Linked DNA regions of Rhinolophus ferrumequinum. The protein of the gene in region 2 interacts with the protein of the main gene of each other region in a pairwise test. Links are inferred from orthologs where the notes say so. Each region holds a gene or a part of one and is shown on either strand. Other genes may lie near its edges. The genes, in order: RAP1B, RALGDS and KRAS.

Region 1 (3,746 bases), on a different chromosome or scaffold from region 2:
AATATCCTTATGTATGTGGATCAATTCTCTATCACACTTGACTAGGCCCTCCTTACATGGTGGGTGGCTTCTTACCATGGGTGCTCATCTTCCCTTTATACAGCTAAGAGAAAATATTGAAATTCTATAGTAAAGGATTGTTTTGAAGATAAAATGGAAATCAATTAGTAAAGTTAGATTCCAAAGCCAATGTGGAAATGTTTCTTTTTGAAGGGATACAAAGTTCTCTTCAAATATCCTCTCTTTAAATGTTCATTACAGTTAATCCCTAAATCTAAATGCTAAACACTATACACACAGGCAAGTTTCTAGGAACTAAGAATACAGTGGAGAATGAAACAAAGTTCCTACCCTCATGGTGCTTCCACTTAACTGGGATTGTCTATGTGCAAGGTACCATGCCAGTGCTTTGGGGCATACAAAGAACACATCCTGTCTTTAGAGTTCACAATTTAGTGGAATAGATACATAACAAAGATACATATAAAGACAACAGAAGATAGGAAGTGATATGTGTCATAGACAGGAAGAGCGATGACTTTCATGGGGTAGGGGGAAGGCAAAAGACACGAAGAGTATTCATTTTCTTGCCCTACACCACATTTTAAAATTATGCCAATTTATTACTGGGCTCCTCAGTTGTATCCTGGTACCTGGCACCTTAAAAACCAAACTGCCAAAAAACAAAAAAAACAAAAACCAAACTGCCTATATGTATTTCAAAGATTTACTTTGGGGATTCCTCAGATAAGACAGCCTCACAATTTATTGTGAATGCCAAACAAGGAAATGCAAGTAAAAACACTGTGTAGTGCAGAGATGGGCTCAAATAAAATTATCACTGAGGGCTCTGTGTCTTAACTTTATTTAATTTCCTGAGTATCAATCTCCTCTCCTAACACCTGGGAATAAAGTACCTAAACTTCCAGTTCCACTAAGGTATCCACCTTTTTTTCCTGGTATGATGGGAATATCAGCCTCTGTAAAATGTAACTCACTATAAAAATGTCATCTTTCTTCCTCTAGGGACCCTATTATAGGATAGTCCTAAAAGTCAGCAGGATTACTAATTAGTTATCTTTTCTAGGCCTCAGTTTCCTCCTCATAAAATGAGAGGGTGGGACTGGATGATCTAAATAAATTAGTCCTTTATGGGCCTTAAAAAAGTCCCATGACTCCATTATGACTCAAATACTACTTAAGAGTCAGCTTTTGGGAGTGATACGAACTAGAAGTTAAATGAACGTCTTCCTTTTTTATAAGTTACTTCTTGCTAAGATAAGGTTTTGTTGAGCAAGTCCAAACAGCATTCTAATTACAAAAAAAGAGAGTTAATGAATTTACAAGTTAGAAGCTTTAAGTTACCAGCACTCGATATATATTACATGCTATTATCAAACAAAAATCCAATTAGACTGAAATAATTTTAAAATATTAAAAATCACAATCTTCATGTAGTGTCAACTTTCTACCCCGTGAAAAACGTGACTTCCCGTTACTGTAATCCAAAACTGCTGATGTTCATACGAAACAGGAGTAGCAGGGCAAAAATGGTTTTCTAAACTAATAAAGAGGATTGGGGGGGGGGGGAGCAGGCGAAGGGAAAGCAAATCTGCTTAAACCTGCAAGGATGATCTTTTCTCCAAAAGCCCTCAGTTTTTTCAGAAGAAAAATCGGATGCTCCGGTTCACTGGAGGTAGGTTTAAATAAAATTCATGGCGCTGACAGTCAGTTTTAGGATTGGACAGAATCGAGATGGCGAAAAAGAGAAGAGTACAAACTTCCTGGGTTTTCTCTCCTTCTGTAAAAGATTTCCTCTTGCTGACGAAGGGGAAAGGCCCCTTTAACAGTTTTTCCCTACGCAGTGGTTGCTGCCAGACTAGGTGGGGCTCCCTCCGCGGCCGTCCTCCTGCCACTTCCCTCAACAAATGGAGCAAACCAGCCCCGTTTCAGGCAAACTTTTTCCTTGTCAGGCTCGAGCCTGCAGGGCGCCGGGGAGTGGTTTCCCCCGAACGCCACTCGCCCAGGCTCGGGGCTGGGGGAAGCTGGGTCTTTGCAAAAGACAACTTTCTGGTTTCCGTTCTAACTTCCACCCACACCAGGAAGAGAACCGAGGCGGCCAGCGAGGGGGCTCCGGGACGGGGGACTACAGGCAAGGAGAGAGGTTAAGGCGGCCGCGGGCAGAAAGGAGTGGTGCTGGGGGGGGTCCTCGGGCTCTCACTTCCTCCGCCATATTTCAGACATTTGACCCCTTCCGCAAAGCGCGCTGTTTCCCCGCGGCGGCGGCGGCGGCGGCGGCAGCAGCTCGCCCCCGCCGGCCCGGGAGGCAGCGCGCTCGCCGGCCCGGCGCCGGTCCCTCGCACCACCTGCCGCGCTCCGAGACCGCCGCCGCCGGGGCCCCTGACCGCCGCGCGCGCCCCGCCCGGCCCGCGCCGCACCCCACCCGCTCCTCTGAGCCGGCGCCGGGCCCCCGCCCCGCGCGGCCGCGGCCGCTGCCGCCGCTCCCTTCATCGGCCACGCACGCACTCTGCGAACCTCTCACGCTGTCACCGAGTCCCCGCAGCCAGCGTCGCCCCGCGCCTCGCGCTTCCTCCGGGTCGCTGGTCCCGGCGCCACGGCGGTCCTGCCGCTGCCGCCGCCGCCGCCTCTCCGGCTGGTTTACACGCCTGACTCTGGGCGAGGTTTGGCGGTGTCGCCTTGACGTCAGGCGTTCAGCCTCGCTCTCGCTTCCGCCCGCGGGCGGGGTGCGCGGGTACGAGGCCCGGGAAGGGGCGGGGCCGCGGGGCGGAGCGAGGGGAGCCGAGGGGCGGGGCCTTCCGCGCCTTCGCGGCGGCGGCCGGACACGCGCGGTACCCTTCACGGTGTTTCCTCCGCGGTGTTTCTCTCCGGCCCCCACCGCCCCTTCAAACTGGCCTCGGCCCTCTGGCTCCGGGAGGATCCGCGTGTTGGCTTCCCGGACGTCAGCGGGTTACACTATTGTGAAGGGCTTAGAAACCCTCCGAAACTCAAAAGGTGTCTTTAAGGCAAACTGGAATTCAGTCACTAACGCCACCAAACAGTTGGTGACTGCGTATTCCTTTGTGCTGGGGAAAGTGGCTGGAGAAGTAACCCAGCGCGCAGTGTCCACACCTAGAGCCTCGTGAAGGTTTTTTTCTTGAATTGACAAGTATTTCATCCTCTGGTGTGTTAACCCGGGTGAACTCTTTCCAATTTACTTTGCCAAAGTCAGTTAACAAATCGATGATCCCAAACAATTTTGTACTCTGAGCCTAAATCAACCGTTTATATGAATAAAATAAATCGCCTATTTAAATGCATGACTCGGGCACTTTAAAGGGTTACTCATAGGTAGGTTTATGATGTGACTGGTGGGCAACAGAAAGCACTTTCGGTTCCAAAAAGTGCGGGAACTTAACCATTATTAGGGAAAAGACTGAACTACACCTACCCTTCCTACAAGACATCGGCTTTTTTATGAACCGAAGTTTTGATGGGCGAGAGGTTCAAAGAGAGCAAAGTGCAGGGTAAAGTAGGGGTTTGGGGCGGGGAGTCATTGAATTCTGAATGAATGAATTTCAAATAAATTTAACTTTACTGACTTTACAATTATTGCGTGAAACTGTGAGAATTCTGAAAGCCTGAAACTCTGAGTTCATGGAAGCAGATATTACCTGGGTGTACTGTTTTGTTTTTTTCTTTCTTTTTCTTCTTTTGTTTTTGAAATTCTACTTGACCTTTGGGCAATT
Region 2 (3,746 bases):
GGTGGCATTGCTAGGGCTGCTGACAGTAATCACCAGCCTCTGTGAGCGCTTCCTCCCCAGCCCTCAGCAGCCTCACTGGCACCCTCACCGGTGCCCTGAGACCTTGAGTGCTCAAGCCAGCGGTCCCCCCAACCAGGACAGTGGCAGGTGCTCCAGCTGGCATTTGCCTTCTTGATCCCTTACTCTTGAATGTCTATAGGCCCCAACCCCTATATGACTGGTCTCGGTTTTGCCCTCACCTCCCTGGCTGTAGGGCAGAAAGGAGATAGTACAGGCAAAGGCCCGTCCCCACACCACACACACCCCAACACTCAGGCCTTCCAAATGCACACGTGCACCGAAGTCACTGTTCCAGGACTCAGGAGAGTGTAGCAAGGCACAGGCACCAGCCGAGTGCTACACATCAGTAACCCAATGTGGCCCTCTCGGATGAAGAAACTGAGGCTCAGAGAGGTTAAGCAACTTGTACAACGCCACAGTGCTAGGGAGGGGCTTACCTGGAATTCGTGGGAGGTTGATCTGACTCCAGGGCCACCTGACCACACGTACACAAGTCACATACACAACACATACGCTGCCCCAGCGCACGCACCCACACAAGGTGCATAACCGCGGTACCCATAGTCCCCCCCCCCCCCCCCACACACACACACACACCACACACCACACACCACACACACCACACACGCTCTATAGGACACAGCCAGCAGGCTCGCGGGGGCGCCCACGCTCCCACAACACGCCCCCGGCATCTCCGGCCCCACCCCTTCACGCCGCCGGCCCCGCCTCCGAGGCGCCGGCCCCGCCCCCGGCCTGACCTCAGCGGGGCCGGGCGGCGGGCGCAGAGCGCAGGCAGCGCCGAGCCGCGCGGGCCTCTGCTGCCCGCGCCGCCTCGGGTCCCGCGGCCCGGCCGGCCGCCGGCGCCGCTGCGAGCCGTCCATGGTGCAGCGTATGTGGGCCGAGGCGGCCGGGCCTGCGGGCGGCGCCGAGCCGCTGTTTCCGGGCTCCCGGCGGAGCCGCAGCGTGTGGGACGCCGTGCGCCTGGAGGTGGGCGGCCCCGCCAGCTGCCCGGTGGTGCTGCACAGCTTCACGCAGCTCGACCCCGACTTGCCCCGCCTGGAGGTGAGTGAGCCAGGTCGGCCTGACCCCGCGGCCCAGCGTCCTGATCGTTTGGGGGGAGGGTCCTTCCGCAGAAATCCCCCTCGCTGTAACCTTACGGCAGCAGGTGGGCGTGGGGGCCGCCGGCACAGCGGGTGCAACAATGTAGGGACCAGAACCGGGTCTTTGTGACCCTATTTATCCGTCCCAATGCCTACCCTCACCGATCCCAGGTGTGCTGGCCTCGTGCCCCTGCAGCCCAGGTAGACCTGTTTCCGCGGGCTGTCACTGTCTGTTTAGGGCTGTGAACTTCCCGACATTAGGGGCTGGGCCATATTTCATCTCCATTGCCAGTCCCAGCCTGCACGGGCAGTTAGGCTTCGCAATCAGGTGGCGAACTGGTAGGGTGGCAGAGTCCTAGAATCCTCAGAGGGCTGGGGACCACAGTGGCCTTCCAGACGGCTCCACTTTGGGGTCAGACTCGGACTGGATGTTCAGGGCTGTTCAGAGGAGGTGGGTTGGAGGCGGAGCAGGCCTCCAACCTGTGGGGCCAGGTGTCCAGGCTGGAAGGTTGGGACAAGGCCCTCTCATGTCTGGATGGGGTGACTGACTCATTTCTGCTTGATTAGAAAATGAATTTGTAAGGATTTGGGAGGATTCAGAGAAGGGGGGATGTGTCTGTCACTAATGGAGGTGGGGGTAACTAGATGAGGGCTGGGACTCTTTCTAGTGTGCTCTGCACAGTGAAGCCCAGTGGGTCATGGGGGCAGGCAGGTGGGGCCGGGAGTGGTGCCTTCCTCCTCCTGCCTGACTGTGCACCTGACTTCAGAGGTAGCAGATGCAGGATGGACCCTGTCACCCTGCCCTGCCTGGGCATGGGGCCTGGACAGGCCAGCCCCGGGTTGGGGGCTCAGCAGGTCAAGGCCGAGCCAGAGCCTTAACAGTGAAGTTCCTGAGCCCCCGTGCTGGTTAGGGCCCCTTTGGTGTCCCCCCCCAGCCCTTCACTTTAGGCCCCCATGTGTTGTACTTGCCAGCAATTTTCAGCCTGGTTTTGTGCCTCTGCATGTCCCTAGGGCCTGGATGCATATTTGCCCAAGGATAAAGTGTGTCTCCCTGCCCAGCGTGGGGCCAAGGCAAGGGGTTGGAGGGCGCTCTTGGTGAGGGAACTGCAGGACTGGGAGACCCTTTTCTCCTGAGCTGGGCGGGTGGCCAAGCCCCGCGTGTTCCCGGACCCTCATCCACCCACTGCTCTGGCTTTCATTGGCAGCTGGAGCAGACCCCTGGGAGGCCTGACACCAGCCTAGTACTCATCTGACTTTCATTATGTCTGGCAGCCAGTCGGGCTTTGTGTGTTGGGAGGGTCCGGCCTACACGCTCACAGGGGCCGGGCAGGTTCCTGGCCAGGGTGGGGTGAGCTGTTTGGCTCACTTCTCTCCCTCCCCCCCACCTCTCTGTCCATCTGTCCATCCCTGGGGACCTGAGGGAGAGCCCTACCCTTGCCCAGGGGTCGCCTTCTCTCTCCTTCCCCTCCCCCCGCACCCTCCTGCTGCTCTCCCTCACCCGGCCTCTGCACTAGATCCAGGCCATGGCCACTGTTTAGAAATCAAAGGGGAAGCTTCTGGCTGGGGCAGGAAAATCAGGGTCCTGGCAGAAGAGGAGGCCAGTGCCGGAAATCAAACACAATGACCATTTACTATGGGCCGGGGGAGGAGGGCAGGGGGGCGGGGAAGTCCCTGTCCCTCCTGCCAACACCTCCCCCACCCCCCCCACCCTCAATCCTGGGGCTGATTTCCTGGTCGCTGTAGCGTGCCAGAGCTGAAGCAGCTCTGCTTGTGGTCCCTGTCCTCTCTGGAAACCACCAGGCAGTTACTGCCTTCTCTCCCCTGTTCCCCATTTTCCTTCCAATCCTCTCTGGGCTGCCAGATGTCCTTGCACATCTGGGCATCCACTCCTGTCATCTTGATTCTAAGCCAAGCCACCACTAACCCAGCTTGGCCTGTGCAGTTCTGTGCTTTCTGGCGGTCACCTGGCCCATGCCCCCATCTCTAGACTGGCCACTGCCTTGACCAGGCAGTTCCCAAGTCTGTAGCACCTAATTTTGGACACCACCAAATAATTTGCGGACACCACCACCTCATTCCAACTGGCTTTGACCAACCCTCCAGAGTGGGTGCCAACCCCCTTTATAGGAGACTGGAGCTCCGAGAAGTGAAGTCTCTGATCTAAATGTATGCACAGCCAAGGACACAGGATTGGGAGGATTTGAACATGGGCTGTGTTCTCTGTTAGGCGCCTGCTGTGTGCAAGAGCCCACAGGAATCAGAGAAAGATCACTATTGGGGTAATTTTAGGTTCACCAGAGGACTGTGGAGCTCTGGGGGGCACAGAACCAGGCCCAGGCAGCCCAGAAGCCCCCGGTCAAGTGAGGGGTTGGGATGCTTATAGACCAGAGGAAGACAAAGTGCCTTGGGCTAGAGGACACTGGGGAGAGCTTCCAGGAAGAAGCAAGTCCACAGCTGGACCCCAGCGGTTTACAATAATAGCTCACATGAGCCAGCACTTTGTGGGAGGCCTTGTTCTAAGTAATTTGCATGCATTATGTCCTTTTGTGGTCAGGACTATCAATAGCCCATTTGACAGATAAAGCA
Region 3 (3,746 bases), on a different chromosome or scaffold from region 2:
GACATCTGAAGAAAGATTTATAAGTAGCAGTCAGAGGAAGTGTTGTGGATTTATAGTGGACGTGTGTTCCACGGTGTTCCACTTCCTCTCTTGTACCTGCTACCAATTGCTACAACAGGGCCAGGGCAACAGGAACAAATCCTGCAGATTACAGCCCACATATGGGGCAGGAAGAAAGGGTGACAGTTGGTGAAAGGCCTAGGTTAACAGATACAATAGTTGGGATTTAAAATAATTGTTGTATTCGTGTGGACAATTTACCTTTCTAGGTAGCGTATCCACGCAGACTCTGGCTATACTAGATTTAATTCTCATTGTTTGATGTGTTCACTCTCTGAATGTTAACTGGTTAATCTCAATCTTCTAATTAATGTTTGAATGATTTTCCTCAGGTCTAAACTATCAAGGGCATTTGTACTTATTAACTTGGGTTCTGCTGGTGCCATCAGGGGCAATGAATACATTTGAGGTCCCTGTTCAGAGTCACCTGTGACCGTTTCAAAATATCCATTAGAAACAACCACCCAAAACAACAGACCCCTTCCCACATAAGATTAAAGACGAAAGGGTCTGTCAGGTTTGTTTGGGCCTGGGGCTAGGTTCCCCCCCCTCGACCGTCGAGGCTGGTAATAATCAACCTTGATCCGGAAGCCCCAGGGTGGAGCACTGCCTGCCACGTCTCCCCCTCCCACATTTGGTGACTGCATGTTTATTTACATGGAATAAATTATAGTAAATGAAAGTCACAACTGTAGGCCGACCCCGAGGGGTGGCGGGATTTTCGCAGCTTCTCTGTGTAGAACCGAGAGGGGTGCGGCAAAGTCGCTTATGGTTGTCTCTCCGGGGGGGGGGGGTGTGTGCGTGTGTGCGTGTGTGTGTGTGTGTGTGTGTGTGTGTGTGTGTGTGCGCGTGTGTGTGTGTGTGGCCCACCGAGGGTCCGTCCGGTTCCGAATCTGCGGCTGCGGGTTCCGCTCCGCTGCTAGAACCGAGGGGCGGGCGGCCGCTTGGGTCCAGCAATGGCCCCCGCCGAGGCGCCGCCCAGACCCTCCAGCTCCACCTGTCCGGCTCCCTCTCCCTCCGCCACTCTAGCCACGGCTTTCTTCAGTCGGCCCTCGCTCCTCCTCCGCTGGCCTGTCCCCCTCCCCCGGAAAGGCCCGGCCCCCTCCTCCACCCCGGCGGCGCTCGTCGGCCCTCTCTTCCCTCTTCCCTTACCGCCCTCCGCCGCTCCCTCCCCGCACACCCGTCTGGAGAGGAATCGAGCACCGAGCGCGTCGATAGCTCTGCCCTCTGCGGCCGCCCGGCCCCGAACTCATCGGTGTGCTCGGAGCTCGATTTCCCTAGGCGGCGGCCGCGGCAGCGGAGGCACAGCGGCGGCGGTAGCGGCGGCGGTGGCGGCGGTGGCGGCTACTCGGCCAGTACTCTCGGCCCCCGCCATTTCGGACGGGGAGCGAGCGCGGTGCAGGCACTGAAGGCGGCGGCGGGGGCCAGAGGCTTGGCGGCTCCCAGGTGCGGGAGAGAGGTACGGAGCAGACCACCCCTCTTGGGCCCCTGCCCTGGTCCCGACCCTTCTCGCCCGCGCCGGGCGGGGCCGGCGGCGAGTGAATGAATTAGGGGTCCCGGGAGGGGCGGGAAGGGGGCGCGGGCGTGGAGCCGGGGAGAGCGAGCTGGCGGACGCTGTGGGGGTGGTCTGCAGCGAGAGGCGTGGGGACACGGCGACGCGGGCAATGGGGAATAGGCGGTGCGGGGCTGAGGAGGGTGAGGCTAGAGGCGGCCGCCGCTTGTGCTGCTTCCTGGACGGGGAACCCCTTCCTTCCTCCTCCCCTAGAGCTGCGACTGGAGGCGGCCGGGGAGAAACTCGCCGGCCGGGCGGGCTGCCCCTCCGGGCGGTCGGGTGCGGTGGAGGTTACTCCCGTTGCGCTCCAGTCTCCCTTCCCCCTTGTCTCTCTCTTTCTTTTTCTTTTTCTCCCCCCCCACCTCCCTCTCTCCCTTCGCTCCCGCACCTCTTCCTCCCTTTCCAGCACTCGGCTTGCCTCGGCTGCTGCCTTCCCTGCTGCATCTAGCATCTCTAGGACCAAGGAATAAACTTCTCCCTCGAGCGCAGACGGGACGGATAGTGGTCCTTTTCAGTGTGTAGGGGGATAAATGAGTAAGGGGGGAGGTCACGTTTTGGAAGAGTATAGGCAGGTGCTTCGGGACCACTGTTTGAGGTTATTGTGTTTGGGGGAAAAAATGCATCTGCAGCCGAGTTACTGACTGCTCCCCTCCCCCATGTATGGGCTGTGACATTGCTGTGGCCACAAAGGAGGAGGTGGAGGTAGAGATGGAAGAACAGGTGGCCAACACCCTACAACATAAAGCCTGTGACTTAGTGAAAAGAAAAAAGTGAATCCCAGGAGGTCTCCTTTGCTTTGTCAAGTTCAAACACACGCAGAAAACCCGCAGAGCAGAAGCAGGGGCTTTTCTCTTGCTAGTTGAGTAGGCTTTTCTCTTGCTTTTTGAGTGTAGACAGTAATAGCCAAAATCATACTTGAAGTTTAATTTGCTTGTTCTTGTCCTTTCTTTTTCCAGGGTAATCTCTTCTGTATGACCCTGATCCTAACAAATTTGACATCCATCCCAAGAGTTATTACAGTTCTCTTAAACAGCACTCACACAATTTCTTGTCACTTATTTACAAGAGGAGTTAATTGTAGCAATCTGCCAGCCAACTGCTTGAAATAGCTAGCTGGCTTTCTTAAATCTTGATATCTATGAAAACCAGAGGCTAAGGTATTTTATAATTTTAAGGTATTTTATGATTATAAAGGTATTTTATAATTTTTTACACAGTATACATGTTGCATTTGTAATGGAAAATCATTTACAAAGAAATTACAAAGGCAAAAATATCTGTTCATAAATCATCAGAATCAACCGTATGAGTGATGTCACTCTTACGTGACTAATGTCCAAAATGCTGACTTGATCATGTAACAGACTATAGACATCAAATATGGTATCAGAACTGCTTGCTTAAAGATGGTAGATGAGATGATGATTCAGTTCTATGACAAATAAAAGTGAATTTGTTTTTCCTTACCTAAACGTTGGGTTGTAGCTTTTGTAGTTTTGGGTGAGGAAGCTCCTTCTGGCATTTCATCTTCAGTGAGACTACCTGGGAACCCAGTTGTCTGTAGTGGACTTAAATGTTACTTGATTTTTAAAATTCAATTCAAGGATTTTTTTCAGAAACTACCACTGGATAACACATAGACCAGATGGTGTGTCTGCCTCAGAGTTCACACATGTATATACAACTAAGCTCTAATCCAATATCTGTCCACAGGATCTCCTAGGCTAGCAAACTTTTTGGTTTGTAAGGACCCCTTTACACTCTTAAAAATTACTGAAGATCCCAATATGGGGTATGTCAATATTTACTATCATAGAAATGAAAACTGAGAAGTTTAAACATTAATTCATTTAAAATAGAAATAATTAGCCCATTACTTGGTAACACAAATAGCATTTTTTTATGAAAAATAACTTTTTCAAAATAAAAACCAAAAGTAGTTAGAAGAGTGGTATTGTTTCAGACTTTTGCAAATCTCCTTAATTATATGGATTAGTAGAAGGCATCTGGATTCCTATCTCTGCTTCTGTATTCAGTGTACTGTGATCACACATCTGGAAGACTATAAACTTGTGCAAGAGCAAGAGTGGAAATGGTAATTAGCATTGTAGTATTATTTTGATAAAAATTTTGA

The links.
Region 1: the proteins of RALGDS (region 2) and RAP1B interact in binary tests that used the Homo sapiens proteins (3 or more experiments, as listed by UniProt). The link is inferred for Rhinolophus ferrumequinum from reciprocal best matches to the Homo sapiens genes RALGDS and RAP1B.
Region 3: the proteins of RALGDS (region 2) and KRAS interact in a two-hybrid assay, tested with the Homo sapiens proteins (3 studies listed by BioGRID and IntAct). The link is inferred for Rhinolophus ferrumequinum from reciprocal best matches to the Homo sapiens genes RALGDS and KRAS.

What each region holds. Positions count from the first base shown.
Region 1 is NC_046293.1:64,832,762-64,836,507, reverse strand, and holds the start of RAP1B (ras-related protein Rap-1b), read right to left. Parts: upstream 2,719-3,746; 5' UTR 2,536-2,718; intron 1-2,535. UniProt on the Homo sapiens protein: GTP-binding protein that possesses intrinsic GTPase activity. Contributes to the polarizing activity of KRIT1 and CDH5 in the establishment and maintenance of correct endothelial cell polarity and vascular lumen.
Region 2 is NC_046295.1:80,657,827-80,661,572, reverse strand, and holds the start of RALGDS (ral guanine nucleotide dissociation stimulator), read left to right. Parts: upstream 1-892; 5' UTR 893-939; coding exon 940-1,122; intron 1,123-3,746. UniProt on the Homo sapiens protein: Functions as a guanine nucleotide exchange factor (GEF) activating either RalA or RalB GTPases and plays an important role in intracellular transport. Interacts and acts as an effector molecule for R-Ras, H-Ras, K-Ras, and Rap.
Region 3 is NC_046293.1:36,539,289-36,543,034, reverse strand, and holds the start of KRAS (GTPase KRas), read left to right. Parts: upstream 1-1,387; 5' UTR 1,388-1,519; intron 1,520-3,746. UniProt on the Homo sapiens protein: Ras proteins bind GDP/GTP and possess intrinsic GTPase activity. Plays an important role in the regulation of cell proliferation.